6 linked regions of the Ovis aries genome follow. The protein of the gene in region 1 interacts with the protein of each later gene in a pairwise test. Links are inferred from orthologs where the notes say so. Each region holds a gene or a part of one and is shown on either strand. Other genes may lie near its edges. The genes, in order: FAM168A, DAZAP2, SS18L1, OTUB2, SF1 and UBE2V1.

Region 1 (4,933 bases):
TGTTAGTTTTTTTAATTTTTACCATTTTTAATTGTATTTAATCATAATATTTAATCGTAAAATTTAGTGGCAGTAAGTACATTCACAATGTTGTTTAAACATTACCACTAAGTACAAAAAGTTTTTAATAACTTTACTAAAATTATTCAGCTATCAAGTGGTAGAAAGGGAATTTGAAACCAAGACTCTCAACCTCTTAATTCACAAGCTATTCATTCAACCAATGTACCTGTATACAATACCTCCACTGCTCCTCTTGCTACCAGAATATTGGGAGAATCAAATGAGGTAAAGATACTAAAACACTTTATACACATTTCTACTGAACAGGTGAACACAGTTATGATAAAAAAAAAAAAATCCACCAAAACATTTCTCCCAAGTGATTATTTTCCATTTTGAGTTCTCAAAAGCTATAGCTTTAATATAAATGTCCCACCTCTATATCAAGCCTGCAGATGCAATGGCTGGACCCCAGAGTAAAGTTACAAGGAGAAACGCTTGCATTAGTTAGATTACACTTTTATCAAATTACCAGTAACTGCTCAAACCTGATTTTCATTGTAACATAGAAAGCTTCCTCATAACAAAACATTTTCAATTCCAATGATTAAGTCCAACCTTCAACCATTCTGCCCATTTCAGAACGACAAAGAAAGATTCTTTATATTGGGTATTTTTATGTGCTCAATTGTGAAAGCCAAGGAAAATGGTTTATTTACGAGCTAAACTCTGAAGCTGGAACCAAAAACTAGATTTATTTTGATCCCATTGGTGCCAATTTTATCTTTACATCTCTCCTCATTTTTTCCCCAGTCTGAGCACTAATCAACAGCTACTTCATGTTTAACATATCATAGTTAATGCAATTAAGTCCAGAAAACTATTTCCCTAAAGATGTTTCCTCCATTAACATCCTTCTCTACCTTCCAGCATCACTATTCTGCCATAAGAATGAGCATATCATTAAGCTTTAAATAAAATTTCTGATGAATAAATGGATGTATTATTTTTGTAGTTAATGCAATATGCTTGTATCTCCTAATAAATAAAATAAAAATGATTTTATGTTTTTATCTATATCTGACAGAATTCTAACCACCTGAATTCCTTTGGAAGAAAATTCAATCTATAGAAATACAATCCAATTATTTTAAATCTTATCAAGTAATGTCAAAAGAGAATCAAATGAAAAACTCCATCAACAGCAAACCATCTCACCAATGAATATTTATGACATTTCCATATTTCCTGTCTTATGTTTACATAAAGCGGTAGTGCCAAGCAGTAGTGCAGGATTATTAGCCTGCAATACAATGATGGGCCTAATTGCCTTGCAAACAAGGACACCAATAAATGGAGTCTTCAAGCAATCAATTTTAAGAGGGGGGAAAAAAAAGGCCTAAGCTCTTTCTGAATACATGCACGTTGCCTGACTAGGAAATAAATTCAGCCTCATATTTTTCAGTCTCATTCATCAGTTCTCAAGCAAGGAATGTTCCCTTAACTACTTAAGCTCATCAAATCTATTTAACACCAAATTTCAGGACTAATTTTTAAAACACACCTTGGGCAGAAAGAAGGCAGAGACATCAAACAGAAAGGTATCTATCACATTCCGGTTTCATCTTCTTCACCTTTAGTTATGACAGTGGGTTTTCCCCTCAACTTTCTTTTTAAAATACATGAATAATAGAAGATGCCTTCCCTCCTCAATTCTACCTTAACTGAAGCCCCACTCAACTTTACCCTTTGTGATGGTTTACTTCCACATGATACTAATACAAATGAAACAAAAACTAACAGCTTAAGAAGTCCTCTAGAAACCAGTCTTTAATGTACCTTCTCTGTCCCCTGCAAAGCCCCCCAACCATAGCCTCCAAAGCTGTCCATTTAAGTCCACTCCCAACCCTCTCCTGTCTCTTGGAGGCCATCCCAATCCTTCCTCTCCAAAATCATCCAATCAACCTCCTCCCAATATTGCTTACCACCCCTCTCCATCCTCCCTGCCCACTCCATACCAATAGCCCCAGGTTTCCCACTCCTCAATTAGCCCCATCTGCCACCTCACTATCATCAACCACCTCTCCAGTCCTCCTAGCTCATCTCAGACATTCTTTCTCCCAAACCGCCTCGGCCACCTTGGCCAAGGGACATCTTCTTCAAGATACCTTCCCCAACCTTGCTCACCACCTGCCACTATTCTTTTGGTGAGTCCAGCCTGGAAGCATCTTCTCTGCCCTCCGCCTCCATCCTGTACACAGGGAGCCACCAGCAGTTTTAACATCACTCTAAATGCCATCCCGCTGTGTTCCCACCCCACCCCACCCCCAATTTCGATCCCTGTTTGCCCATTTGGGGCCTAACTTCTACTAATTTACCCCGTCCTGCCAGCTCACCCTCACACTCCCCTCATTGAAAGTCCCACCCCCACCAGCTCCTATTACAACTTCCATAAGCACTCCCCAGGAAAACCCCAAATTCTACCTCCTCTGCTGGCCTAACCCACGCTATTCCGTAAGTCTCAACAAATTCCACCACCCCAGATGGCAAGCGCCCACTTTAAGCTCAGGTCTCAACCCATGCCAAGCCCCTCACCCCCAGCTCCTACCTCCTCTGTCAGCCTGACGAAGGTCCACGCCACACTCCAGAATTAACCACCCCCCAGGGTCCTATCCAACTCTGCAGTCGCACTTTCTATTGAAATCAACCCCTTAGCCCGCAACCCGGCCCAGATCCCAAGCTGTCAATTGCTCCAGGCCAACCCCAAATCCACCACCCTCATTCAGTCCCCTCCCCCATTAAAAGCCATCCCACTCCAGTTTCACCATCCATTTCGCCCAAAACCATCCAAATTCCATCCCAACCCTACAATCCCATGCTCCTGTCCCAGGTCGTCTCCATTAAAAGTCCCCTCGCTTCGTCGCTCCCCCCGCAACCTGCTCGTGTCCCACCCTCACCCCACCCCCAGCCCGCGCCTGGACAAGTCTCCCTTGCCAGCCCGCCGTTCCATCGCGACCTTAACCCCCTTCCCCCAACCCGCGAGGGGGTCCGCAGCCCCCATTCCCATTCTCCCCAGTACCACCGGCCCAGGCTCAGCGAGAGCGGAGCGGGGAAGGGTGGGGGTGTATCTCCTCACCGGCGAGCCGCTGCAGGCGAAAACGGCGGCGGCGGCAGCTGAGGCGGCGATGCCCTTGTCTTCTCTGAAGGCTACAGAGGCGACGCTCTCGCTCCGTCGCCCGTGTCCAGTAAGGTGGCGGATGGCGCGCAGGGACCAGGAGCCGCCTCCTCCTCAGCGACTCGGCTCTGAATCCTCTGCAGTAGCCGCCGAGGAGCCCGACGGGTGGGGGCAGGGGACGCTGGGCTGCGGGCGAGGGAGGAGGAGGCTGAGGGAAGGGGCGGGGGACCGCTGAGAAGGGAGGGGAAGGAGGAGCCGGCGCAGCGCCGCGACACGTCCCACAGCCTCAGCTCGCCGGGACCACAACTCCCGGCATGCCCCGCTCCGCCCGGCGCGTCGCCTGCGCCTCTGACCGCGCGCCCGAAGCGGAGGGACCGCTCCCCGCTCGGTCACAGACAATGGAGTAAAGCCAACCATCCGCGGGCAGCTTTTGTAGACTCAGAGACCACACAGGAAGGAAGTTAGGTCACCCAGCAGCCCCATCTTCAAGGGACGATGTTTGCGGCGTCTCCAACCTCTTTACGCGCGCGCACACACCTCCACACAGCCCTAAGAGCTCCTCCCGCTGGACTACACTTCCCAGCATGTCTCACAGCCTCTCGCCCTCTTTCCGGACCCTTCTCAGACCTGGTACTACAGTTCCCAGGGAGTGTGGTCCCCGTGAAATGCTGGGAGATGCAGTTCTCAGTTCTTCCTCCATGTTAAAAAAAAGACGTGAAAGAGAGGGGAAAGGGAAGGAAATATGCCACCCAGCCGAGTACAGGCCTAGATGGGCAAGATCACCTGCATGCGAGTCTGTACTCTTCGAAATAACCGTTTACCACTGTCTCGCACCAGAACTAATGCAGCAGCTTCCTTCTGGTCTCCCTGCAAAACTAGACGACTTGGCAGCTTGAGCCCGAATATAAAAAGAGGGTACTTCTTGACCCAGCTCCGTTACTTTTAAGAATTTACCTTAGAAAGATAATCAGTTTGGAAAAGATGAATGGACAAGGTTGTTATCGCAGGTTGTTGATTATAGTGGGGTAAACGTTAAGTGTCCATCACTAGGAGCTGGTTAAATTATATATACAAACAATAGCTGTTTAAAATAATGATATGGGCCTATTTCTTGACATCAAAAACTATTCACAATTTATTCTCAAATGATAATAGAACATGTTTAGAGTGATCTAATTTATGTGAAACTTGAGAATATTCTATAAGCATAGAACGATTTCAGTAAAAACGTTGCCCAAAATAGTATCTGTAATAACCTTGGAATAAAGTGTGTCAGATTTAAAGTAATTTTTATTTTCGCACTGCCAGAATTGTTTAAAAACAGTACAAACTTTTTAAGCTATAAACTATTTTCAAAAAATAAAATTTTCAAATCTAGCAACAATCTGTTTTTGCTACCTGAAAGCTTTTCATGGCTTTCTGTTGTCTTCAGTGGTGCTCGGAGAGGAGGATTATCTAGTTTTTCTGGGAGCCCAACATTTCCACTATTAAAACAAATAATGGTGGTCACTTAAAATTCATAAAAGAATTGGAGAAGGCAATAACACCCCACTCCAGTATCTTGCCGGGAAAATCCCATGGATGGAGGGGCCTGGTGGGCTGCAGTCCATGGGGTCGGTAGGAGTCGGGCACAACTGAGGGACTTCACTTTCACTTTTCACTTTCATGCATTGGAGAAGGAAATGGCAACCCACTCCAGTGTTCTTGCCTGGAGAATCCCAGGGACAGGGGGCCTGGTGGGCTGCAGTCCGTGGG
Region 2 (4,912 bases), on another chromosome or scaffold:
CATGTGTCTAAACTGCAACTTCAGGTTAATATGACTAAAGCAGTTACATTGTGAGAAGTGCTGAAGGTATGTGATGTCTTTCCCGGCATAGAGATGGCCTTGGTTCTTCACCAGATGGTGTAGCCACCATCTGAGCCACCCATGAAGAAGTTTCCCTTCCGCTGAGTTACGAGGACATTGGCTCCCTGCATGACTGCCAGCTGAGCAGCATTGGGAGGGCATCCAGGGGGAGGAGGCTGAAAGGAAAAGACAAGGTTGATTGGGCAGAGGGCAGCTATGGGAGGGAAGTGGACAAAGGTGAAAAAGGACCAATCAGGAAGATGGCAGTGTGCTAACCAGCGGCATCTCAAAGAGCTATCTGGGCCACCAATCTGAGTCCAGCAGGTCTACATTCTTTGTAAGGCCAAAGATATAAACAGGAAACCCACTCATTTAAAGGGTTCTGGATCCAAAATAAAGCCTATGGATACCTTCTAAGTGTGGGAAGTCCAGACTTGGCATTTTCAGTGCAGAAAATCACTCCTATTCACATCCCAAAACGGAGCGGGTACCAGGTCCAGGGACTTATATCACAGGGCCTGACAGTTTTCAAATGGCCCTGGATAATCTGAAGGCTCTACCTGATGACAGCATTTTCACTTCATCCCTAGCCTATGGTTATTGAGTAGATGGTCCTAGCAAGGACCATATGGGCTCTAATTCCCATACATAGGGGAACTAATCAAGAGACATTGCTAAAATCCCTAGTATCTCTCTAAATGCAATTTAATAGGGATTATGCATTGTTTTTTTAATCGTCATGGTTCCTAATACGATGCCATGCTGATGGCACATATAAATAAATGCTTATGGAATGAATGAGGAGTGTTACTAAACTAGTATCAAAGTGAACTGGAAAAGCAGCAGGCAGGACTCCTAAGACAGGAAAACAAAGGAATCTGATAAATTCTAACATCAGTGAGTACGCCAGATGTTACTGACTGGCCACGGTTCTCCTGCCCCTTTGAGTGCTTTCTGCCTGACTACTGGACGTCAGTGATTATTACACCAATACCAGCAACTATTACCCAGGGATGATGAAAGGATGACCAGTCATTTCAGAAAGTTAAAATACACAAGGGTCGAGCTTTTTTGTGACCAAGTCATACTCACAGGAATGTTTCCGGCAGTAGCGCCAGCTCCAAATCTGGCCCCTGTATCATACCCTCCTTCCACCAGCACTGTTGAACCAGGTGGATAGATGGGACCAACTGGATAATAAGCCATGGGGATTGTGGAACCTAAAGGTCCAACAGCCACAGACTGGGCCATGGGAAGATACAGTGAGGCGCCAGGAAATGCAGCTGACATGGTGGGGACGGTGGCAGCCCCCGGGTGCACAAAGCTCGGACGATAGAGCTAGAAGAGGCAGAAGAGAAGGCAATAAGTTACTTCATGACATTCCTATTTCAGATCTCAATTTAATGAGTCAAGTCTTAATTCTCCTTGTGCAGATTACACTCTTTGAGTTACACAAGTTGCCTTTCCACTGCCACTCAATATTCTCCTGGATCACTTCCTGCTATAGCTAATGTTAGGCTCAGGGAATGCAAACTCATCTTCTTAACTTCAGCCAGTGCCAAATAACATAAAACAATCAGATAATGCCTTCTCAAACCCAAAAGAAATGGCTGAACTATGTCACGTTTTAAGATGATTCATGTGAGCACTCTCTTCTGTTTGTGGAAAGTAAATAAATGTGTGGAGCCAGACTTGGCCAAGGACCGAAAACATGATCCAAGAGTATTCCATTATTAAGTTAACTGGAAGCACCTCTGAGTAGGCAGGTGGAGCATCAGTATAGGGTGGAGCCTGAGGAAGATGCAAGGTCTGAGGGTACACAGGGTTCCCAGGAGGCTGCACAGGGTAAGTTGGCTGCGTTGGATATTGACCTGGAAGACAAGGGGGGAAAAAAAGCATGTTGTCTACCATACAGTCACCAAAACAAAGCAGGGCATATTGGGTAGCTAATCTAGCTGGGATAAGCAAAAAGAGATTTCCAAACAGACTGCCCTAGAGGGCCTGATTCCTGGAGCCAAGAAAATAAGCATTCTCGTTGCACCCTTAAAGCTGAAGAAGCTGGATTCCAACTGGACATCCAGTAGCCGACTGCTGTAAGGGGAAAGTCTAGCTGGGCCCAAGATCCTCTCAGAACGCAGGGCAGTTCTGGGCATCCCCTCTAGCCGGTATTTCAACGGTGTGTCCTGTCTCCCTGTCCTGCGTGGTCTCCAAAGGTCTGGTTGTAACTGACCAAGACCTCGTGAGTAACGGTGGTTGTGGTCATCGACCTCACAGGTTCCTACTCAAGGTCGACTTCCAAATGAAAAGAGTGAGTGGTGGAAGTGAATGCTGAGATCGTGGAGGGGGCTGAAGGGAATGTTCTGACACAGAAACCGGGAGACTTTCTGGCCGCCAGCGAGGGTAAGGGGGAAGAGACCCCCTTCGGGCCCGACTGGCCCGCCCACCAGAGCGGCACTTTACTAGTTAAGCCCGGAGGCCTGCCTGTGGTTCCGGAGCGCGGCGCCCCGCCTCTGCCAGTTCTCCATTGGCCTACCCAAATCTCGCCTCCAGCTCCCCATTTGCTCCTACAGATGCCCATCACGACAAACCTTCTCCCCACCCCCCCAACCCACCCACCCAACAGCCCCCCCCCAACCCGAGTCCGCAGCTCCAAACTGCGCCACAGAGTTTAAGGGAGAAAGGGCCGTGAGGGAGCGAACGGCCGTAGTTCGGGAATGACGAAGGTGTCTGGCGCAGCCCCGGGCACTGCAGCTGGCTCAGGAGCGCGGCGCACCTCGCCCCAGGCCTGGCGTTCGGTGACCCTGGGCTCCGGGCCCGCTCGTTCCGGGCCAGCACTAGTCCCCCCGGCGGCCTCAGCCACCCCCTATCCTTGCCTTTGCTGTTCATGGTGGCTGCGGGTCCGGCTCGGCTCGGCGTCGCGGACGGTTATTTTTTTCGTCCTCTTCCTGTTCGTAGTCACTTCCGTGTCACGTGACGATCTGTCCGCCTAGCGTCACCCGACGCCCGAGTGCCGCTGCCACCGGAAACCCCGCCCCTTCGCCCGGCCGCCGGTTGCAGGAGGGAGGGCCCGCGTGATCCCGTCCGCTCGCGTAGGCCCCGCCCACCGGGTCTGGTCCTCCAACCCCTACCCTTGTCCCTCGGCTGAAGGAAAACCAAATACAGGTATTGTCTCAAAACGGGATCTTCTCTCTCTTGAACGCTCGGAGGCAGTAACATTAAACTATTCTCTGGAACCTTTTTCCACCTACGTTCAGCACCTCAAGGTCACCTCACCTTGACAGCCTTTCTACAAGGGGCATGCATGCTTGCTAAGTCTCATCGGTCGAGTCCGACTCTGTGCGACTCTGTCCATGAGATTCTCCAGGCAAGAATACTGGAGTGGGTTGCCATTTCCCATGGACCGAACCGGAAACTAACACACACACACACACACACACGGGACATAGATTCCTACACACACACACACACACACACACACACACACACACGGGACATAGATTTCTACAATCTTACCTAACTGCCTGAGATGCTTCGCAACCCTTGATCTATCTCTCGTTCCCCTCACTCAAGTCTTCACTGCCTTTCTATTCTACCGATAGGCTGTCGGTGTTTTATTTCTGTGTCGCTTTCTCACCGACAGAAAGGGTATGCTGTGCTGTGCCCCGCCCCACCCCGCTGCAACAGCTAGCACTAAAACGCATGTTCTTGGTACCCAAGGAGTACCCATGCCCTGGCCCTTACTTTGATACCTGTCACAGACACCTGTATGGTACCTGATAGGTATTTTCTCTGTGTATCCCTTCTCTTCTAACTTAATCGTTCTTAAGAGCAAAGATGCCATCCTTTAAGGCAACAATTGCTTCCATTCTTTAAGATATTTGCTGAACGCTTGCTGTGTTCAGGTACAGAGATGGAGCTGAACAAGACAGCCCAAGGCTATTTTCTCATGGTTTACATTCTGTAGTGTAGGAAGAACATTAGAAAAGCATCTGAAAAGAAAGCTTTGAAAAGAAAAACCCTCGGTAAACATTAGCAACCTGATCCATATTTGCTGTTGAATGACTTAAACCACTGAAAAGACCAGTACTCACTTCATCAGCAGTCCGCTGTTTTTCTCTCCAGTGTCAAATTACAGTTTGCAGGACACCATTAATATGCATGATTTTATGGAGTCATCACAGATCTTCACAACAGCCCTGTGTGGCAGGCAGGGCTTGTTTAAGCATTTCTGTTTTTCAAATGAGAGATTTGCCCTAAGTCACACAGTGAACAGGTTACAAAGTCAGGTGTGTTATCTTGGTCCCCACCCCCACCCCGGTTCCCAAATCAGTGGTTTGGTTTTGTTTTGTTCTTATCCCTTTACTCTGCCTATCACAACTGCTGCTGCTGCTGCTGCTAAGTCGCTTCAGTCGTGTCCGACTCTGTGCGACCCCATAGACGGCAGCCCACCAGGCTCCCCCGTCCCTGGGATTCTCCAGGCAAGAACACTGGAGTGAGTTGCCATTTCCTTCTCCACTGCATGAAAGTGAAAAGTGAAAGTGAGGTCGCTCAGTCGTGTCCGACTCTTAGCGACCCCATGGACTGCAGCCCACCAGGCTCCTCGGTCCATGGGATTTTCCAGGCAAGAGTACTGGAGTGGGGTGCCATTGCCTTCTCCAGCCTATCACAACTAAAATGCCCTAAAAGCACAATATCCAAGACTGTATTTGGAGTTCTTTTAGGTTTTTTCCCTTTCTTTAAATTCATATTATTTATTTGGTTCAGGCTGGTATTATTAGTATGATAAAGCCTCTGATATTTACCTTTTCTTGTATTTCTGACTAATCTTCTTGAAGGCAGGCACAGTGTTAGA
Region 3 (4,427 bases), on another chromosome or scaffold:
GTGCAGTGAGTAAGAATGCAGCGCAGCTCTCATGCACCCAGAAAAACCTTCCCTTGATCCAGGGCCAAACCCCAGGGGAAGATGGGCTGGTTTGGACAACTCTGAAACAAGAGGCAGGACTCTCTGAACATGCCTGAGGAGTTCTCAAGAGGGTCTTGTGGGAGCAGCAGAGCCAGGGAGCCCAGATTCTGCCCTTCCTGGAACAACCCGGGGCTTTCCCACCACTGGGGCAGAGACGACCACTTCCCTTGTTTTTCTGCTCCTTTTCATTTGTTTCTATCTTTAAGAATATTGTGACAGCCTATGACGTGGCCATGAAAAAAGGAAACACTCATTGGTTAAAGAAGAGGCTGGTGTTAATAAATGTGGTAGGAATGTGGCCACAAAACAAAGGAACAAACCCATGATGGTGACTTGTCTATAAAACCTTGTCGTCAAGCACAGAGGAGCCTCGGGGCCTGAGTGGCACCGAATGCCCACCCACAGTCACCACTGCCGTCGGGAGAAACTGAGAATCGACCTGAGGACTGGGGGTCGGGGGCAGATCTGCACAGCCACAGGGTTAGCACTTTGAATTTCAACAACAGCCAATAATGTTTACTATTTCGAAGTTTGACTTCTAAATGGACAGATGCATTGATGCGATTTGAAATCTAAAAGCAAACCCAGTCCACCCGCCCGGCCTGGCCTTATCACCCCCGAGTCACTTCGATCGCTGTCTCCAGTATTTCTCGTCTGTTTATGGTGGGTGGGTGTGCTCTTAGCACTCATTGTTTTACACAGAAGGCAGCATCCAGATACTCTGGTGCTGCACACCTGGTATGACCCAGGGGACCTCCCACAGCAGTGCCCTGGACATGCCACAGTGGACACTGGCTGTGTCCAGCCTCTGCTCCTGCAAACCTCATGGAGAGAAAATGCCAGTGGGACGTCAAGGTTTCCATGGAGGGCTCTGCCGTGGCCCCGACAGCAACCCTGTCCCACCCATCTGGGTTTGCTGTGCCCCGGACCACTTCTCGGCCCTCTCACTCCAGGGAACCTGCAGGGTGCCTGTCTCCTGTGAACAATACCAGGACCAGCCACCTGTGTCTCTTGAGGTTCCTCATTCCCTTGGGGGACAAAGCTAATTATGGGAAGGTTCTTTATGTCAGCTTCAAGCCACCCCTAATCACCCCCACCCAACACCCCTGCCTTTCTCAGGGCACTGACCACTCCTCTGAAAGAAACACCCCCACCTCCCAACCTAAAAAAGACCAGGCAGGCCACCCACTGAGGCGTGGCCAGTACCGTGTGTGGTCCTGTGCGAGGGTCACTAACCAGGTGGAACAAAACATTTCCAGATGCAGGAGGAAACCATGCTGTCTGCCACACCTGCCCTAAAAGAAGTCACTGGATGTTTTAGCAAAGTCCTCATCAATTATGGAGGGTGAGTGGTTGTAGCCCAAAGCGAGGGTACAAACTGCACTTGAGACTTCGACAAGCCCTCCCTGGTGAGCAGCGTGGGGGCTCTTCCTGAGGAGGAGGCTGAGCCCAGCTTTCCTGGAAAGGGTGGGGAAACGGAGGTAGTGTTTACTGGGGACAGATGGTCAGTTCAGGAAGACGAAGGCTCTGGGGACGACGCTGTGACGGTACAACGCGCACGTGCTTAGTGCCGCTGGATTGTGCACTTAAAATGGCTAAAATGGTAATACTATGTGTTTTTACAATTAAAAACAGGTCACCTCAAAAGTCACATTTTCTAGTCACTCGTTCCACTCGTATCATCTGTCTTTTCTTTCCTGGGCCACTGGCAGCCCTGACATTGTCCCCACTCCTGACCAGCAGACTGGGGGCCCTGGATGCCATCACCCATGAGCTTATTAGTGGCCCCTCTCCTCTCAGGGTTTCCTGGGGGCAGCAGGAAGTCCTTTCCAGGGCCAGCTTGGTGCCATCACCTTGGCGGCTTTATCGGCACCCGCCCCATTTCTGCAGGCCCTGTGCACATTAGGCCTGGAGCTCACAGCCAGCTGCCTTACCGCCCTCGTAGTAGTGCTGCGTGGAGTCCTCAAACGACCGGTCGTAGCTCTGCTCTGTGTAGGATGCCGGCTGGTAGGCGTAGTCGCCATGTCCTGCAAGGAAATGGGGCGCCGAGCAGTCAGCAGAAGTCCTGGCTTCCCAGACCCGGGGAAGACCACATGGACTCAGCCATCAGGTCGGGATGGCGTGCCCCTGGATGTGGGTCCCGTGTCCTAGATTGAGCCCGTGGGGGCTCTTCCTGCTGTCTGGCAGCCAAGGTTCCTTTAAAGTGCAGATGGCTACCTGCTCCTGGGGCCAACAAGCCAAGGTTTACAGAGCATACTTGGTGCCCCATGTCCGACACACACGTGTCCGTTAGCTCTTAAGGTTGCTATGTGGTCACCATCCCGTCGCCGACTCCCATTGGAGTGTGTGACCCCTCTGGTCTTGGCCACCTCCCCACCACCCACTGCCTGACCTGGTCACACATCCCTGCATGGGGTCCTCCCCAAATCCCACCTGTCCTCTGCAGTCACTTTAAGACATCTCCACAAATCCTGATTTTAAAGATGCCGGAACGGTGACACGGAAAAGGAAAATAACCTGCAGAAGGTGTAACTGAGCAGCTGGGAGGTGAATGTTACGAGACATACAGTTGGCTCGGGTTCATCACCTTCCTGAAGGCACTTCACCACGAGCTCATATCCATCCTTCGGATATTTGTGTCCATCCATTCAGAGGACTGTGCCCCCAAGCCCCAGGGAGCCCAGTGCCAGAAGCTTCTCTCAGCAGAGACCAGCCCCCACCCTCAAAGGGGACTCTGGGTGCTTTGCTGGCGGGGGCGCTGGGACTGAACTGGGAACAACTGGGGAGTGCGGACAGATGCCAAGGAAGTGGGCCTCACCATCGGGGTAGTACTGCTGGCTCATGGGCTCCGAAGCAGCCTGGCCGTGGCCGTACTGCTCACCGCCGTAGTACTCCTCCTGGCCCAAGTACTGCTGGGACGAACCTGGGGGGACAGTGCTGATGTCACCTCCCCGAGCCCCAGAACCTCCCAGACGGGCCCACTCAGAGGACACCCCACAGGCCCACCCAGGGGACCCGGGGCCCTGCCGCATGTCCAGCCCCCAGGAGCCGGGCTTCCCACAGCAGCCCTCCCCGCACTGGTTCCCTGTACCAAGGGCGGCCTCACCTTGCTGGGAGGGCCGGTAGGGCGCCATGGGCCGCTGCCCCATCACGCCGCCCCCCTGCCCGCTCTGGCCCATCATGGCCATGGACTGGCCCTGGTAGTGCTGGCTTCCGCCCTGGGCCGCGCTGTAGTGAGACGAGGCTGCCTGCTGGTGCATCATGGACACTGGGAAACACGACAGACCCCAGTAACCCAAGCAGTTCCCAGGTGGTGCCTCCCCCACCCCCAGCCCAGCCTGCACCCTCACCCCAGGCTGCGGCTTCCACAAGGCCCCCACAATGGGGCCACATCACCCTTCCTGCCAAAGTGCCTTTGGGTGACTCATAAAATGTGAAACGCGGCCCCCACCCACTGGTCCCAGAGAAGTCTGTTGCCCTGCCCTCCCCAGACGGTAGCCTCAAAGGGCCCTGGGGGGCCCTGCCTGCCTGTCCTTTCCTTCCACCCTGCTCGGGACCCTCCAGGCAATGCTGTCCAGCACAAGGTATGTGAGCCACATCACGGAATGAAAAGAAACAGGTAAAATCTATTTCAGCAACATTTTATTTGACTCAATATATCCCAGACAGGTTGTTCTCAGTATGTAAGTAACATAACGAGAAGCAAGGAGTAATTTCACACCTGTTTCTGCTCGAAGCTTTGAAACTCACTGGGCACCCCAGTTTGGACCCAGCGCTTCCTGAGTGCTCAAGGCCCCAAGCTGTCAGGCAGGGCTCCTGCCACCCCTCAGCATGCCCTGCATGCCTTCTGCCTGTGGGAGCCCTTCCCTGTCCTCCCAGCACAGGGTGGGGGGGGCATGCCACCACCCTTCAGAGCCTCCCCTGAAGCTGCCGCAGGAGCAGCCAAGCCCCCTACCCACCGGGCCTGTACCCACCAGCCCCGCCCCTCAGGGAGCTGCCAGAGGAAGGGGCATGGGCCGAGCGGGGCGGTACCTGGGTTGGACTGCATGTTGATGTTGGCCCGGGACACGTAGTTGCTGATGGCGCCCTGGCTCTGCAGGGGTACACTCTGCGAGGCAGGGCCCGAGTGGCTGTAGCCGGGCCCCGAGCCGTGGCCACTGCCCGACATACTCATGGAGGTGGTGGGCAGCGTGCTCTGTGCCGTCTGCTGCAGGGACACGTGGTTTGGACCTGTGGGGGGTGAGGGGGTGTGAAACCCACAGAAGACCGGCTCTGAAAGACACCCCCCGCGAGTTTCCTTCAGGTGACTGTGCAGGGGGGAGGCTGACCACGGTCAGCAACCAGAG
Region 4 (5,004 bases), on another chromosome or scaffold:
AGTCAGTGGCTTAGGGAGGCCCTGGACGTCACCTGAGGCTACACAGCCGTGAGCGGCAGGGTCTAGAGCCAGCCTGGCCCCAGGGTTACCTGTGCTCCTTCCACAGGCCAATGCCAGCTTGGTTTGGAGCTGCTGTGGTCTAGGGAGAGGAGGAGATGGGACAAGCGCTCAGGGCTTATAATGAAGCCCTTAGAAGCCCTCCTTCTGGAAGCCCCAAGTGACTCTGATGTGGGCTTGACAAGGGTTAAGCCTGAGACCAGGCCCCAGGCAGTGCCCTCACAGACCCTTCCCTGCTCTTCTCAGCAGTCTCCCCGCCCACACCCCCAGGAGCCACACCTAGCTCAATCATTCCTCCACCAAGTGAAGCCTGCCTAACACAGTCTCCACTGAGCACTGGATATGGAGTCAGAATCCGGGCTTCATCCCAGCTGAGCATTTTCCTAGATGAGCCCTGCACTGAGCCTGTCACCTCTCTGGCTTTTCCTTAGCTGTAAAAAAAAACAAACAAAAACAACAACAACAAAAAAAAAAAACAGAGCAGAAACTCTACATGCAAGAAAAGGCATGGCGGAGCACACAGCCCCTGAAAGCACATGCATTGCTCCTCAGAACAAATTCAAACCCAGCTCTGGAGTCAGGCTGACCAGGATTGAATCCTTCCATGTGCTGGGTAAATTTGGGCAAGTAGCTTAATTTCTCTATGCCTTAGTTTCCTCATCTGTAAAACAGGGATAATAGAACCTACCACCATAGACCAGTTGTGAGGAAATTATGATAATATAGGTTGAGAGTTTAGGATGGTGCTTGATACATAGTAAGTGCTCAAAGAAAAATAGCTTTTATTGTTATTTCTCCTTGAGTCTTGATTGATCCCAGACTCCCCACTGAGTAAGTGATATGCACTTGGAAGATGTAGATGCTGTCTACTTGAGAGCCTGGCCTGGTACCAAGGGCAGATGTGTAAGAGTCTGGTGGGGGAATTAATACACAGTCTAGGAAGTATTAATACTTATAAAAGAGGTACATACAATTCATTGGAGCCCCTTGCCCCCGCCCACAAGGCACTGTCTTCCAGCAGTCAAGGACTAGTGATTGAATCTCTGAATGATACATATTCGTTCTGAATGATACATATTCGTCTGTTTGATGTTCAGCAATAATGAGCTTGTATACAGGGTGAGTCAACCAAGCCTGGTTCGTGGTCTGTGCCTCATATATAGCCATACAATTCCAGAGGCACAGAATCAACGATCGTAGAAATTCAGTCATTCAACAAACATTAATTGGGTGGCCTGGCAACCTACTGATTCATGAGTTTGGAAGTGCATAAAATATTATTTAGAAGCTACACGTGCAGGCTGGTAACTTAATATTATTGAACTCATGTTCCCTAAGCACCTGTCCTCTGATCTTGAGCAAACTATACTTATATGACCTTATTATGAATTAACCAGGGCCAACAAAGAATCTGGACTGCCAATGCAGGAGATCTGGGTTCGATCCCTGGGTCAGGAAGATCCCCTGGAGAAGGGGATGGCAACCCACTCCAGTATTCTTGCCTGGAGAATCCCATGGACAGAGCAGCCTGGCGGGCTACAGTCCATAGAGTCGCAAAGAGTCGGACACGACTGAAGTGACTTAGCACATAGCACAGACAATCTTTCAGAAGACTTCAATTTGCAGTTTTGGTCAAAAGTCCTTCAGCCTTCACAAACGAAGACTTGTCTTTCTGGGTTGGGCTCCTTTGCCAGTAAAGAGGTTTCTGTGTCTTTAAAAGGAGGCGGTACCCTGTCAAATGGACCCTAAAGCATAGGCTGAAGGCGCGTGAAGTCCCACCCACTTTCTGTGACGTCCTGTGGCCCAGCTTCTGATTGCCCGCTTCAGACGTCAATCGCGGGGCGTGTGTCTTGCTGGGACACAGTGGAGGTCTAACCTCTGGTTTGCGGAGCGGTCGGGTGTATTCTCCGCTCGTCCTCACGCCCTCGAGGCCCCCGCCGCCCGACCCAACGGCGGAGCCAGCCAGTGGCTCCCGCGGCGCCCTCCCGCACCGGATCGCTCCTCGCTGGGGCGGGACCTGGCCCGACGGCTCCGGTCACTATGGTCAGTGGTCTAAGGGGAAAGCGGGTGGGAAGGGGGCGCGGTAGGCGGGGTCGCCCCCCGGGCGCATGTGCACTCGCGGGACGGGGGATTCGGCGCGAGGCTCAGCCCTCAGTGTCAAATCCGCTGCGTTCGGGTCCCCCAGGAATACCGGGGTGTCCCGGTCCTTTCTTGGAAGGCTCCCGTGGACGGTCAGCAACGAGAACCCAACCCAGCGCCCAGGATCCCCGCCCCCGGCGCGTTCGTCCCTGGTTTCCCATGTGCCGCTCCAACAGCGGGGACAGGGAGGCTCCAGGGCTAAGGGTCCCCTCCTTTTCGTTACTAGCCCTCCCCCGCCAGTTCGCAGCTCCTTGCCGCACCCACCCGAGGGCTCAGCCATTAGAGACCTCCCCATTCCCAAGCCCCACGAGTGGACCTGGGGTTGCCACGGGTAGCCCGACATCCTCTCTGTCCTGCTTGTCAACAGAAGGTATTTGCAGTTAGGACCCACGTGGAGAGACTGTCTCAAGTTGTGAGGCACGTGACTTAGGGGCCAGAAATGGCCCCCGAGACCCTCTGAGCCAGGCCAAACTCAGGGCTTGCGCAGCCGGGGACCCTGAGGCCCAGAGAGGGAGGGGCTGGGACTGATCACGGTGGACTTGGATTCCCAGGCCAGTGCTCTTTGTATTTCTGTGTGTGTGTGTTAGTTGCTCAGTGGTGTCCGACTCCTTGCAACTCCATGGACTGCAGCACGCCAAGCTCCTCTGTTCGTGGAATTCTCCCCACAAGAATACTGGAATGGGTTGCCATTCCCTTCTTCAGGGGATCTTCCCTACCCAGGGATCGAATCTGGGTCTCCAGCATTTCAGGCAGATTCTTTACCATCTGAGCCACCAGGAATTATTCCTTTGTATCACTACATCAGTCCATCTTGGGGGTGAGGGGAGACAGGGGCACAGGCAATCTGCAGAGGACTCGGTGTGATGAATGCCTAAAACTGATCAACTCTGACCCCCCTGCTCCAGGGAGCCTGGAACGCATAAGGAGTGGTGGCTTGGCCTGTGGTCACAGCCCTGAGGGGTGATCTCACCTCCACCCCCTGGAAACCCGAGAGGCGTTGGTTGGTCGCTTCCCCTCCCCAGCACTATTTTGCACACCTGTATAATGGGCTGCTGTGAGGATCATGTGAGGTGATGCACATGGAGCGCTTGGTTCAGATAATTGGCCGTGGCTTTCCTTCTGACAACAAAATCCTGGAAATGGGTGTGCACAGGGGCCTGGTTCTTAGAGCCTCCTCCCTCCTAGGTCTGAGTAAGGAAATGGGTCACTGACCACTGAGGGCTGCCGCTGGCTTGGGGCACAGGTCAGAGCCTGGTCACGGTCTGACACGTTCTGAGTGTGGCGTGGGTGGCCCGGCCGGTCCTGAACAAACCAGCTGGGTGTGGCTGAGGGCTTCTGGAGCGCCTGGAAACACCCACTTCCTGTTTCCAGGCAGGACCTAAGGGTTGACCTGGCTCTTCTGCTCCTGGAAGGGCACGGAAGTGTTTCTGCATCGCCCACAAGGGAGTGGCCAGGGCTGGGGTAATAATGGGTTTAGCCACCCTGGAGCCGAGGCTGGCTTGCCTTCCAGTCACCACTGGGTAGCTGAGAGCATGGCGGGGTGGTGGGGCTGGGCCCTGATCTTCTGTCCTTCGTGGTGCACAGTGAGGCCTCTGACTCCAGCCTCCCATCTGCCCTGGACTCAGGAGAACAGAAGTTAGAGGGCAGATAGAGTCAGAGCACCAGCCCGCGCCCTGTGACAGGCAGCGTAGGTGCCTTGGAGAAGAATGAAGTGGTTAACTCACCAAACAAGACGTCTGTCTGGGAATCATGGGGAGGGGGTGGGGCAGAGGCAGTGCAGGGTGTGTTCTCGTCTGTTCATTCAGCATTTAGTGAGCACCTACTGTTTGCCAGGCACCGTGCTGGGCCCACTGGTGATGTTTTTGAGTCTGTGTGGTATGCATGATGGTGAGTGTGTGTGTGGTGGGCAGAGGAGAATGCCTTTGGAACATATAGTGTTTTCTTTCTGTATCCATTTCAAAGTCACTGAGCTTGGGAAAGGTCCCAGGTAGAAGACATAGAACCCTTGGGAAGGCAGTGGCCTGGGTGAGGACAAGGTTTGGGGGCTGCCACTGATGGAGGTTGCAGGTAGTGAGGGGCCTCATGCTCACTCAAAGGGCATTTAACATTCAGTGAAGAGTGAGGGTCAGATGTGAACAGCAAACCCACAGGGCCCTTCTGTGCTTTGTTCTTTGGTTTTTCAAACAAGCCCCCAGTAGGGTCCCTAGTCCAGCCCCACGCTGGGCTGGGCATTGATGAGAAAGACAAGGGCCTGCCCTCTTTTAGGAACTCACTGCATGAGACAAGACAGAACTGGACACAAGCAATTCCTGAACTATCAGTCATGACCTAAGAAGCTTAAGGGCTTGGGGAGCACAGCAGGAACCCATGCACTCTAAGGGAGCAGTGAGTGTCAAGGAAGGCTTCACAAAGGGGTCTTTTGAATGGGTTATTAAAGGATGTGTAGGAGTTTTCAGGAAGCATTTGGGGAATTGTGTGTTCCAGTCAGGGTGGGACAGGCCTAGAAATATGTGCTTACAGGCCTGGAAACATGGTTAAGAGTGGGATATTCTGGGAATGGTGAGCAGTCTGTATGGAGAGAGGAGAGATGAATCTAGAAAAACTGGGAGGGGGGTGGTCAGAATGTACTGTAAAGGGCTTCACATGCTGTGCCATGGGGTTTGGGTTTTAGTCTGCAAATGTGGTGGTGGAGGGGACCATAATGTATTTTTGACAAATAAGAGATGGTTGATTTGGATGGTCTCTCTGGCAGTGGAGCAGACAGAGGGCCAAAAGAGGCCAGGCTGGAGTCAGAGACCAGCTTATCCA
Region 5 (5,227 bases), on another chromosome or scaffold:
AGGCTTTGGTTATACGTTTAAACGCTCTTAGGACCCAGAGCAGTAACTTCCTCCAAAGGAAGAGAGCTGGAAATGTAAAGAATGAAGCTGTTTTTCTCATTTTCTACATCTGCTTGTGTTCTTGGGCTATCACTCCACTAGGGACATTTTCATAAGGTTATCAAGACCCAGACTAGTCAAATACAAGACATAAAAGGATGGGTGGAAATAGACTCAACAGTAGGGAAAGAAGAATTATTAGTATTGTAAAAAGGAGATAAGACAATTTCAACAACTCAAAATTCTCAGCAGTCTAGAAAAGAGATGAAGACCCTCAAGAACAATAATGGCCTAGAGGACCTCATGGGTCTAGGAGGCTTCTGCCCTAATTTACTCGAATGTTTATTTGGTTAGTAGGAAATGTGTATCAAGTAAACTTTTTTGAGACAGCTGTACAGGTACACAAATAAATGTAAAACTTGCATTAAAAACCTTTTATTTTTTTTAAAAAAGGTAATTTTGAAGTCAGTTTCATTTCTACTGTGGACATTCATAATTCTCAAAATTCCCCAACAGTTAAGATCTTTTATCCTAACCACCTCATTATTCCAGATCCAAGCAGTACCCCTTTCCCTGCAGAGTTCCTTAGGAGTAAACACAAGAGCCCTCATTTTAAGACAGCTCTCCAAAGACCAAACCAGAAAAGATGCTGAAGGAAAGGTTAAATTCAACAAAATGGTAAAAGGGGGTAAACACACTTTCAGAACCACTTTTTGATTAAACTGAGTTTTTTCCCCTTTCACAAAGTACCTATAAAAAAATAAAAGACCACATTTTAGGGAAAGGAGGAATATGAAATTATGGTGAAAGGCCAGGCTGTGAAAAAGGTACTTGGTTTACAATACCTGCAGTGTTCTCCACTGGGGCCAAGTCCAGAGAGGCATGTAACACTCACCTCATCAATTGGTAATGAACAGCAGCTGAAAAGGGTGGGGTGGGGTGCTGGGCTGGGAACTATTCTCATTCCTAAGCAGGCCCCTCTACCCTTCTGGCACTCATGGAGAACACTGCTGTTACCAACAGACCAAAACAAGGAGCTACAAATGCAGGACTCACAGAGCAAAAACTTATGGATTACATCAAAGTCATCTGACCATAGCTCCTCTCAAAGAGAAAACTGTAAAGTCCCAAACTTTCAACAAATAAAATGTTCAGTAACGATCTGAAAATGCATTTGAGTGCAGAACGTGTATTTACCTATATAAGCTCTTTCTTGTTCCCGAGTAAGTCCAGGGGGGATGACTGTAGGCATTCCTGGAATCACCGTCTTCTGTTCCATTGTGTCTTGATTCCAGCGGCTCCTCTTCCGCTTCTTACTGGGGAAGTCTAAAAGAGATAAGGTTCGTCAGATGCAAAGATAAACCAGCAGAGTAACTACCAACAAGCAGTTTAGGATACTTATTATACTACACACAACCTCAGCAGACCGTGAAACTGAGAACTTGACCTAAAAAGAAACAGCAAAGAATGGAAGACAAACCTGGGAAGTCAAAAGACATGGCCACTAGAAGGGGACCTGGGTCTGAAAAGTTAACATGGCACATTTATGATTTTTGTCCACAGAAATGTTGTGAAATATGTAAACAAGAAATCTCAGTGCATAAAGTTTCAAGTAGTGAAATAAAAAAGTATTGAGATAATAGTATACCACATGGTGTCCATAAACCTCTTAACAGCCCCAGGACATAAGAGCAGACTGAATATTCAAGGGTATAAAGCAATATTGTTAACTTCTGGCTCCTCCCACCTCCCCACCAGTCACCTGAGACAAAACGCAACTAAACTTATGGTTATCAACTGAAAAACCTGGATTTTTCAGCAAAATCACTTTTCTCCTCAGAGGTTTGGCTAAGGTCAGCATTTTCCTGGCCAGGTGGACACTTAGGGTCTAAAAAATGTATCAAGTTCAACAAAGAACAAGCTATACAACAAGAGCCAAATCTTTCTTCCCCAGTACACAAGCAGAAACTTCCTGGCGTTTGATACACAAAGGCGCCTTCTCAGGAGCAAGACCCAGCGGAAAAGCCTCAAGAGGAGGCGTGTCATACTTCCTAGGTAGATACAGTGAGATATGGAAACGAACGGAACATCCTTCTCCAAAAAGGGCCACAAAAAAATCGGACCCAAACACCCCCTGAAGACTTTCATCCATTCTGGTTCTGAAGTGAAAGCCCTGTCTTATTAAAGAAGTTTTAAGGAGCTTCTCTTGGTACTTTCTTCCTTTAGGACTCCACTACAACCAGGAAGAGGACGCTCCACGTCATCAGTCGACCCTTTCCGCCCTCCGGACTTGCACATGAGGCACCCCAACCACCCACTCGATCCCCTATCCACACCCGCTCCTGAACACCAGGGGCAGAGAGCAACAAGGGGTCCCCCCAATCCCGGCTTTTAGGACAGCCACAAAGCCCGGCCGCCAAACTGCGCCTGCGCGCAACAAACTTCCTCCCGCCGGGCCCCCACCCCTGAGGCGCGTGCGCACTCGAGGCCCGAGAACCAGGCCGCGCGCCCCGTGGCTCCGCCGCCCGGGCCTCCCCGTGCGCGCGCGCGCCCCTGCCGCGTGCAGCCGCCGTCGCCGCCGCCGCGCGGCCCTCAGCCGGCCGGGCCCATCCGCGCAGCGCCTCGCGCGCTCTCTCGGCCCGACTCACCTCCTCCGCCGCCGGTCGGGCCCGGCTGCTGGTCCTGACGCGGCGGCTGGGGTGGCGGTGGCTGTGGTGGCGACACGCGCTGGTAGAGCGGCGGCGGAGGGGGCGGCTGCGGCGGCGAGTACGAGGAGCCCGAGGAGGGGGGCGGTGGCGGCGGCGGCTGCTGGGGAGGCGGGGGGGGCGGCGGCGGCGGCGGCGGCGGCGGCGGTAGCGCCGCAAAGGGGAAGGCCGCGGTCAGGGCCCCCACCGAGCCCACGGGCGGGGGCGGCAGCGGCCCGGACACCAGCAGCCCCGCCCCAGGCCCGGGGGCAGTCGGTGGTCCCGGCTCGAAGCCCCCTTTGGGGCCAGGGAGGGGAGGGAGGCCTGGGGGGCCCAGCTTACCCAGCGGCGTAGCGTTCGCTCCGGTCGCCATGGCGCCCCCAGGGACCGGCACCGGCGGCTCCTTTTCGGCGGCGGCTTCTTCTTCGCGAATCTTCTGGGGGGAGGGGACCCGACTGCGCTGCCGCGGAGCGCGCGGAACCCGTTCTCTCACGCGGCGGGGCGGCGGCGGCGGCGCGAGACGCACAAAGAGGGAGGAGAGAGAGCGCCGCGGGGGCGGATCGGGGGCGACGGGGCCGGGGCCTGGATTGGGCCGAGCGGAGGCAAAGGGTCGGAATCGGCGGCCTCCGATTGGTGGAGCCTTAGCTTTTCTCGATGCGCGCTGGGATTGGCCGGACCGTTAGGCCAGGCGAGGAAATGGCGGCCGAGCCTGAAGAGCTGGGAGGTGTCGCAGCGCGCACTTCATTTGTTACTGCGCGAACGGAGCTCGGAGTCCAGAAAGGAGGGATAGGGTGGGGCAAACTCTGTGACGTATGGGGCCAAGAGCTCTCCCATTGGCTGGGTTGGTGTAGTCAATCAATCTCCATTGCGTTGTAATGTCCTGGGATTGGCTGTCGCTGGTTCTTTTTTTTTTTTTTTTTCCTTTGCTCCTTTTCCCCGGGGAGTAATTTCGCTGGGTTTAAGCTAGAGGTCGCGGCGGGAAAGCCTTGGCGGAACAAGAATTGGGGTCGGGGAGGAGCGGGACAGGAGCGGGCATGCATAGATGGGGCAAAACCGTGTCTCTGTCCCTGGCTTCAGCGTTGACCCTCGGGTCCGGCGCGGAAGCCCTTGGTGACGTCAATCCTCGAGTCCCATGGTAACCCGGAACCGAGGGGTGGGGGAGGGGCTGGCGCGGACCGGTAAACCGGATCCGTCGACAACACAGGTAAACGAGGACTTCCTGTTTTTGAAAAAAATAAAAAGTGGGAGGAAGAAGGATTAAAAACGGTACCGAGCCCATGGAGGTACACATATCTTAAGTGGAAGGCAATATGAAGTTATCAAAAATACCGTGCGTTTTCATTAGAATCCCAGCGAAGTTAAGATTGATTAGATCATCTTTTAAGTCAAATAAAATAACTGAAAATAGTGGGGAAATTTGTAAACTAGGTTGAGGAGCTTGCCTTTCCGAATAATACAATAGAAAAGACACACTAATGAAACAATGTGGTATTGTTGTAGGAAAGACAGTACAATAGGATAGAGTCTAACCAAAAAAATGGCATTTCAATTCAGTAAGGAAAAGATTTAGCTAGTAAATGGTATAAAGTGAAGTGAAGTCGCTCAGTCGTGTCCGGCTCTTTGCGACCCCGTGGACTGTAGCCCACCAAGCTCCTCTGTCCGTGGGATTCTCCAGGCAAGAGTACTGGAGTGGGTTGCCATTTCCTTCTCCAGGGGATCTTCCCGACCCAGAGATCGAACCCAGGTCTCCCGCATTGCAGGCAGAGCTTTAACCCCTGAGCCCTATAGAGTCCTAAATTTAAACAATAGAACAGACACAGTACAATTTAGGAGATTGTCGGAGTCATCTAGGGGTAGAGACTTTATGAAGACAGGAAACAACAAAAGTTAGTTACCAAAGGAAACTATGATAAAAGTCAACAGTAATACATTAGGCAAGTATACTTGCCATACATATGATAAAGAGCTAATATCTGTAATATGGAAATAAGTCTTAAAAAAATAAAAGAGAAAAACAACAGAAAATGAGCAAAGACTGAATAGACAAGCCTGAGAAGAGCAGATCCAAATAGCCAAAAATATGAAAAGTACCAATCTCCTAAGAATGAATGCAAATTAAAAGTGATATGAGACGTCTTCAACAATCAGGAAAAAAAAAAGCTAAGTTACTACTTTGAATGCTTTTTTGAAAAGCATTCTATTATCTATTAAAATTATACCTCTCAAAACTTCCTTGGTAGTCCAGTGGGTAAGACTTTGCACTCCCAATGCATGGGGGCACTGGTTGGGGAACTAAAATCCTGCATGGTGTGGCTTAAAAAAATTTGTACCTCTTTCAGGGAAAAATAAAAAACATGTTCAATGTGGTGATCCCACTCCTGGGAATCTGCCCCTAAGCAAGGCATGTGACTACTTAATGTAATGTGTTCAAAGTCTTCTATTGCATTTTCTGCGGTCTTGTTTGTAACTGCAGAAACCTGGAAACAGAAAACTACCATCAATAT
Region 6 (4,948 bases), on another chromosome or scaffold:
AAGAGGCAGAAAGGTGCTGTCACCAAGCGCTGAAAGCAGTGGCCACGGAAAATGGAGCTCAGCCCTCACAGGAACTCGGAGGCTTCACAGCTGTTTCCTGGGACCCAGGGGCCCAGACTCATCAAGAGGCTTGTTCTAAAGCTGCCTCCGGAAGGCCTCGGGGCCCCTGACCACACCTGAAGGACTTCTCAGGGTTAGAAAGCAGAGGGGCCTGTGCACTTGTTTCAGTCTAACCCAGCAGCCTGCCCCAAGTCATAGCAATACAATCTTTCTGCTTCCCACTTCAGCGCTCTACACTCCTCTTACTGCCTGGGAGGAGAGGTCAGATCCTGCCATTCTTCTCTTTTTAAGACCCTCATTCATTCACTCACCAAATATTTACTGAATGCCTACTTCAGACCAGGTGCTTGTTCAATGGCTTCCTTTCACACTGAATAAAATCCAAAGCCCTCTCTCTCTAACCTATCTCTTTAACAAGCCTCCCTTACACACTGAAGTCTTCGGTTCTTTCAATCTGCTAAGCAGATTCCTGTCACAAGGCCATTCCACTCACTGTCCCCCAACTCCGGCCTGTGACACACACCGCCAGCTCCTTCCATCATCTGCTTGAGTCCAAATACCTACTCTTGGAGAAGCCTTCCCTGACCACCTCTCCGGACAGCACCATATCACACAACTTCCTTCACAGCGTTTACTGCTATCTGAAATCTTAATTATGTATTCCTTTAATGGGCTTCTCCTTGACTAGATTAGAAGCTCTTTGAGGACACGGGTTATGTCCACCCTGTTCACTCTCCATAAAGGGGCACAGTAAATTCTTAACAAATATCTGTTGAACGCACAGACAAAGGAGTTCTCGGAAGTCCAGTTCCAGGGCATCTCAAAACCTGTTCCCTGTTACCTAAACCATGCCAAGTGCTCTTGTATGCCACTAGACAGCAGCTGACGATGTTTTATCTGATGACCACAGCATTTAGGAAGCACTCTTCAACTGGGAGGATCTCAAGAAGTTAGAATTAAGTAGCTGTTAAACCGGATTATAGATAGCCAATCTCCAGTCACTGCCAAGGAGCTGAGCGGCAATACCACCGTAAGGACGGCGGCTATGGGCACAGCCGTGTGAACAGCCTCCCCGGTCCACAGCAACCTGGCCGGGTGTTACTCCGCTGAGAGGAGCCTCATGGCAGTCTGGCCTGACTCAGCCCCTCTTCTGAGAATGTCCGTCGCAGTCTCTTGGTAAATGAATTGACTCAGCACTGTTCCAACTGAATCCAAATCCAGGAAAGGGAGGTGTGGTTTCCTCTATCCTTCAGGAAGACCCCATGGCTTTCAGTGTAAAAGACAGCTTGTGGTAGGTGACTCCGGGCAGACCCCCGATGTCCAACTCCTTCCATGCCCATCTAACAACCAGACAAAGACGGCCCCTCAGGACACTAGAGGAGTCACATGCGGGGAAGACAGACTCCCTCACCCTGCTCACTTCTGGTCACCAACCTTTCCTACCAGTGCTGCTGTGGCCTTATACAGCTGGAGGATTCCAGTGCCCAGCCCGGTGGTCCTGTTTGTTCTCCCCCTCAGAGGCCGCCCACGGTCACCTCATTTGGGAGGACTTCTTTGGCCAATTTCACTGCCAGACACCTCAGGGGACACCCTGCTCGCCAAAAGGGAGACACTCCGTCACTCCCAAATCCTGCACTTCCAGAATCTGACTCTCTTGCCTCACTGGCCCCTCTGGGGGACCTTCCCCAATCATCACCCTGTCTCCTCCAGAAGGTCACCTGAGTCCATCCCCTGCTCCCCAGCTGTGAATGTTCACTCTGAAACAGATTCCTTTAGGACTTGACCCTCTGGAGCATCTTAGGGGAGTACAGAGCAAGGAATGCAAAATAAATGCTGCTTCCCTTTACCTACCAGAGTCTGGAAGAACTCCCCCTGGCCCAGAGTGCAGCCCCCTCAATCCCTCTTGCATCTCGACTTTCTTCTCCAGTTCCCATTTCATTTATTCCTCTCCCCATGACCATCCAACCATTGGGGAACTTCTGACCTGAACCCCCATATGTTACCAATACCTGAAAGAGTGGGAGAGAGACAGTCTCCATATGAGACACTCCTAAGGTATGTGTCCCTCACCCAAATAAAAGAGATGTTTCTTCTCAAAGAAGAACATCTCTGAAACCTGATTTCCAGTCTCACTCACTGCATGGGGCTTCCCTCAGTCGACCCTTCCCCTAACACACACCTCCAGAGCTCCCAACTCATCTGTTCTTCACCCAGGATCGCAAGCTTCCACTGACCGCCCTACTCAGAGCTCGCCTCCTAAAACCTAACATCTATCTCCTCAAATAGGGGCCTGGTAATGATGGGGCCATTGCACTTTCAGCTGCTCCAACCAAATCCCTCTGGAATCTGAGAAATCCCTCTCCCCTTCTCACGTATCCTGTGGAGATGCCCTTAATCCCAGCTCCCCCACCGCAAAAGCTGCCATCCCAAGACGCCCCCTTTCTAATCAGCGTAAAAATTTTCTCAGTTAACCCAATCCCCTAAACTTACACGGATCATGCCCTTAAACAACGGGGCATCCTATCACTCACCCCTCAGGATCCCGTTTCCTTCCCTCATTCTTCCTCAGGGGCTTCTCTGAAGTCAGGGCCAAACGGACATCCCCAAGGCTCCTCCCCCCGCTCAGACACCCAGCATCCAATAAAGGACTTCCATCTCTTTAGGGGCGCCTCCTTGTCCTCTAGGGGACCCCCCGATCTCGTCTAAGGAGCCGGCAGCCCCCGACTCCTCCGGAGTGGCCCTGGGTTCCCCCTCGCCCGCTCCGGCCGTTCTGCAGCGCCGCAGGGCCGGGCCCTTCCTCTCCGCAGGGCCCTCACGCCGCCCGGGGGAGCCTCGGCCTCACCGCGCCGCCCACAGGCCCCTCAGGCCCCCGCCCGTGCTTCCGGCCACCGCCTGCTCCTCCTCCCCGCTCAGGCCGCCCGCGTCGCCGCCGCGGGGCCGAGCGGACAGCGGCCCTGCAGAGGCCCTGGCCCCGCAGCAGGGGCCTCTGCGGGTCTCCGGCCCCCGGCCCAAGCCCATGCCCCCTCGGCCGGCTGGGCCCGGCGCCCCCGCTCACCCGAGCCCGTGGTGGCTGCCATCTTGCGTCGCTGTCGCTCAAAGGCCGGCCCCTTCTTCACCCCCCACCGTCCCCGGGCTTTTCTGCGCAGGCGCGTGCGCAGGCGCGGACGCCTCTCTGACGCCTGCTCCGCGGGCCGCTCGACCCGTTGCATGGAAGGTTTTTTTTCCCCTGCCCTTTTAGAGCGAGGAAACATTTGCGTGCGTGAGGGCCCAGCAACCTGCAAGGCCCTCCAGACTCTGGTGCGAGGCAGGTATTGAGGTGCTTGGTGAGGCAAGGGTGATCAGACTGGGAAGGGTGTGATTAAAAGACAAGAAAGCTTTAAAAGAGCGCCTGTTGTCATAATCTATAATACAATGTAATCTGAAGAAAAAATAAACAACCCACCAAAACCCCAAAACCTGAATCACTATGCTGTACACCTGAAACTAACACCATATTGTAAGTTAACTATACTTCAATAAAAATAAGCAAATAGATGCAAATTTATAATATTGTTTAAAAGCACTTATCTTGCCCTGGGCTTTTTCCTCTGTGAGGTTTGGGTTAAAGTGAAAAATGAGGGCGAGAGGGGTTAAGATATTTATATAAACTCAGCCCTTAAGTAATTGAGTCAGAATTTGAACCCAGGCCATATGTCTTGCTTCCCAGATCAATGCTTCCAGGTCAGAAGGGGCTTGAAGCAGGGCGGTTAAAGGATTCCGGGGCATATATATATATATGGCAGTGAAAACATTCACTAATTCACTCAAATATTTACTAAGCATCTACTATGTGCCAGACACTTTCATAGGTGCTGTGGATGGATATACATCCCTGAAGAAGCAAGCTCCTGCTCTCATGGGCTTACATTTTAGTTGGAGGCAGGAAGAAAGTAAACAAATAGGGAAGAACCTAACTATAATAGGATAGGAAATAAACCAAGGGAGGAGTGGTCAGGCCTCTTATGGAAGTCACATTTCAACAGACACCTGAACGATGGGAAGCAGATGGTGGGAGTGACATGTGCAAAGGCCCAGGAAACATATATTGGCAAATGTTAAATTCAAGAAGTTGACTCCTCTAGCATAAGTGGTCTGAGAAACCCTTATGTGGACGTAAAGACTGAGGCTGGAAGAGAGGAAAGGTTTGCTTCATGGTGGCACAGCTACACACTGGCAGAGAAAGGACCAGAACTTTCAGTACAAAGGAACAAGGAAGCTGGACACCTGCACCCAAGTCACCTGGTTCTGACAGCAGTGCCTCCTAAGCATCTCTCTACCCCATCCACGTCTAGGCTCCCCTTGTCTCCCACGTGGAGGATCCCAGCAGCCTCCATTCTTGCCCCCCTGTTCCATTCTCCTTATGACAGCCTGAGTCTGCCCAGTTGCTCAATCGTGTCTGATGGTAGCCCGCCAGGCTCCTCTGTCCATGGAATTCTCCAGGAGAGAATATTGGAGTGGACAGCCATCCCCTTCTCCAGGGGATCTTCCCCACCCAGGGGATGGGTTGCTATTTCTTTCTCCAGGAGATCTTCCTGACCCAGGGATGGAATCCAGATCTCCCACATTGTGGGAAGACTCTTTACTGTCTGAGCCACCAGGGAAGCCCCTTCCCACTACTGGTCACATGCAGTCATCTTGACATTATACCCTGTATCAAGTGATTCAAATTTACCTTGAAGGGCACACAAAATATTTGCCCTGGACTTTCTTTCAGTCACTGTACAATGTTAAATAACAGATGGGAAGCATTTGGGTTCCTAAAGTGGACTCATCTCTGGAGTGAAATGTTCTGGGTTCGAGTTCGCCACTCACTTGGCTGTGTGACTTGAGGCAAGAGACTTGAACCTCT

The links.
Region 2: the proteins of FAM168A (region 1) and DAZAP2 interact in binary tests that used the Homo sapiens proteins (3 or more experiments, as listed by UniProt). The two-hybrid records come from large-scale screens. The link is inferred for Ovis aries from reciprocal best matches to the Homo sapiens genes FAM168A and DAZAP2.
Region 3: the proteins of FAM168A (region 1) and SS18L1 interact in binary tests that used the Homo sapiens proteins (3 or more experiments, as listed by UniProt). The two-hybrid records come from large-scale screens. The link is inferred for Ovis aries from reciprocal best matches to the Homo sapiens genes FAM168A and SS18L1.
Region 4: the proteins of FAM168A (region 1) and OTUB2 interact in binary tests that used the Homo sapiens proteins (3 or more experiments, as listed by UniProt). The two-hybrid records come from large-scale screens. The link is inferred for Ovis aries from reciprocal best matches to the Homo sapiens genes FAM168A and OTUB2.
Region 5: the proteins of FAM168A (region 1) and SF1 interact in binary tests that used the Homo sapiens proteins (3 or more experiments, as listed by UniProt). The two-hybrid records come from large-scale screens. The link is inferred for Ovis aries from reciprocal best matches to the Homo sapiens genes FAM168A and SF1.
Region 6: the proteins of FAM168A (region 1) and UBE2V1 interact in binary tests that used the Homo sapiens proteins (3 or more experiments, as listed by UniProt). The two-hybrid records come from large-scale screens. The link is inferred for Ovis aries from reciprocal best matches to the Homo sapiens genes FAM168A and UBE2V1.

Annotation. Positions count from the first base shown.
Region 1 is NC_056068.1:51,811,524-51,816,456, forward strand, and holds the start of FAM168A (protein FAM168A), read right to left. Parts: upstream 3,346-4,933; 5' UTR 3,140-3,345; intron 1-3,139.
Region 2 is NC_056056.1:134,989,006-134,993,917, forward strand, and holds the start of DAZAP2 (DAZ-associated protein 2), read right to left. Parts: upstream 3,029-4,912; 5' UTR 2,947-3,028; coding exon 2,934-2,946; intron 1,932-2,933; coding exon 1,813-1,931; intron 1,399-1,812; coding exon 1,153-1,398; intron 237-1,152; coding exon 108-236; 3' UTR 1-107. UniProt on the Homo sapiens protein: In unstressed cells, promotes SIAH1-mediated polyubiquitination and degradation of the serine/threonine-protein kinase HIPK2, probably by acting as a loading factor that potentiates complex formation between HIPK2 and ubiquitin ligase SIAH1.
Region 3 is NC_056066.1:54,727,086-54,731,512, forward strand, and holds part of SS18L1 (calcium-responsive transactivator), read right to left. Parts: intron 4,312-4,427; coding exon 4,114-4,311; intron 3,350-4,113; coding exon 3,188-3,349; intron 3,005-3,187; coding exon 2,900-3,004; intron 2,109-2,899; coding exon 2,016-2,108; intron 1-2,015. UniProt on the Homo sapiens protein: Transcriptional activator which is required for calcium-dependent dendritic growth and branching in cortical neurons. Recruits CREB-binding protein (CREBBP) to nuclear bodies.
Region 4 is NC_056071.1:56,420,015-56,425,018, forward strand, and holds the start of OTUB2 (ubiquitin thioesterase OTUB2), read left to right. Parts: upstream 1-1,895; 5' UTR 1,896-2,097; coding exon 2,098-2,100; intron 2,101-5,004. UniProt on the Homo sapiens protein: Hydrolase that can remove conjugated ubiquitin from proteins in vitro and may therefore play an important regulatory role at the level of protein turnover by preventing degradation.
Region 5 is NC_056074.1:39,463,822-39,469,048, forward strand, and holds the start of SF1 (splicing factor 1), read right to left. Parts: upstream 3,477-5,227; 5' UTR 3,097-3,476; coding exon 2,688-3,096; intron 1,366-2,687; coding exon 1,237-1,365; intron 1-1,236. UniProt on the Homo sapiens protein: Necessary for the ATP-dependent first step of spliceosome assembly. Binds to the intron branch point sequence (BPS) 5'-UACUAAC-3' of the pre-mRNA. May act as transcription repressor.
Region 6 is NC_056066.1:78,157,185-78,162,132, forward strand, and holds the start of UBE2V1 (ubiquitin-conjugating enzyme E2 variant 1), read right to left. Parts: upstream 3,156-4,948; 5' UTR 3,138-3,155; coding exon of another isoform or gene 3,116-3,137; 5' UTR 2,620-3,115; coding exon of another isoform or gene 2,592-2,619; intron 1-2,591. UniProt on the Homo sapiens protein: Has no ubiquitin ligase activity on its own. The UBE2V1-UBE2N heterodimer catalyzes the synthesis of non-canonical poly-ubiquitin chains that are linked through Lys-63.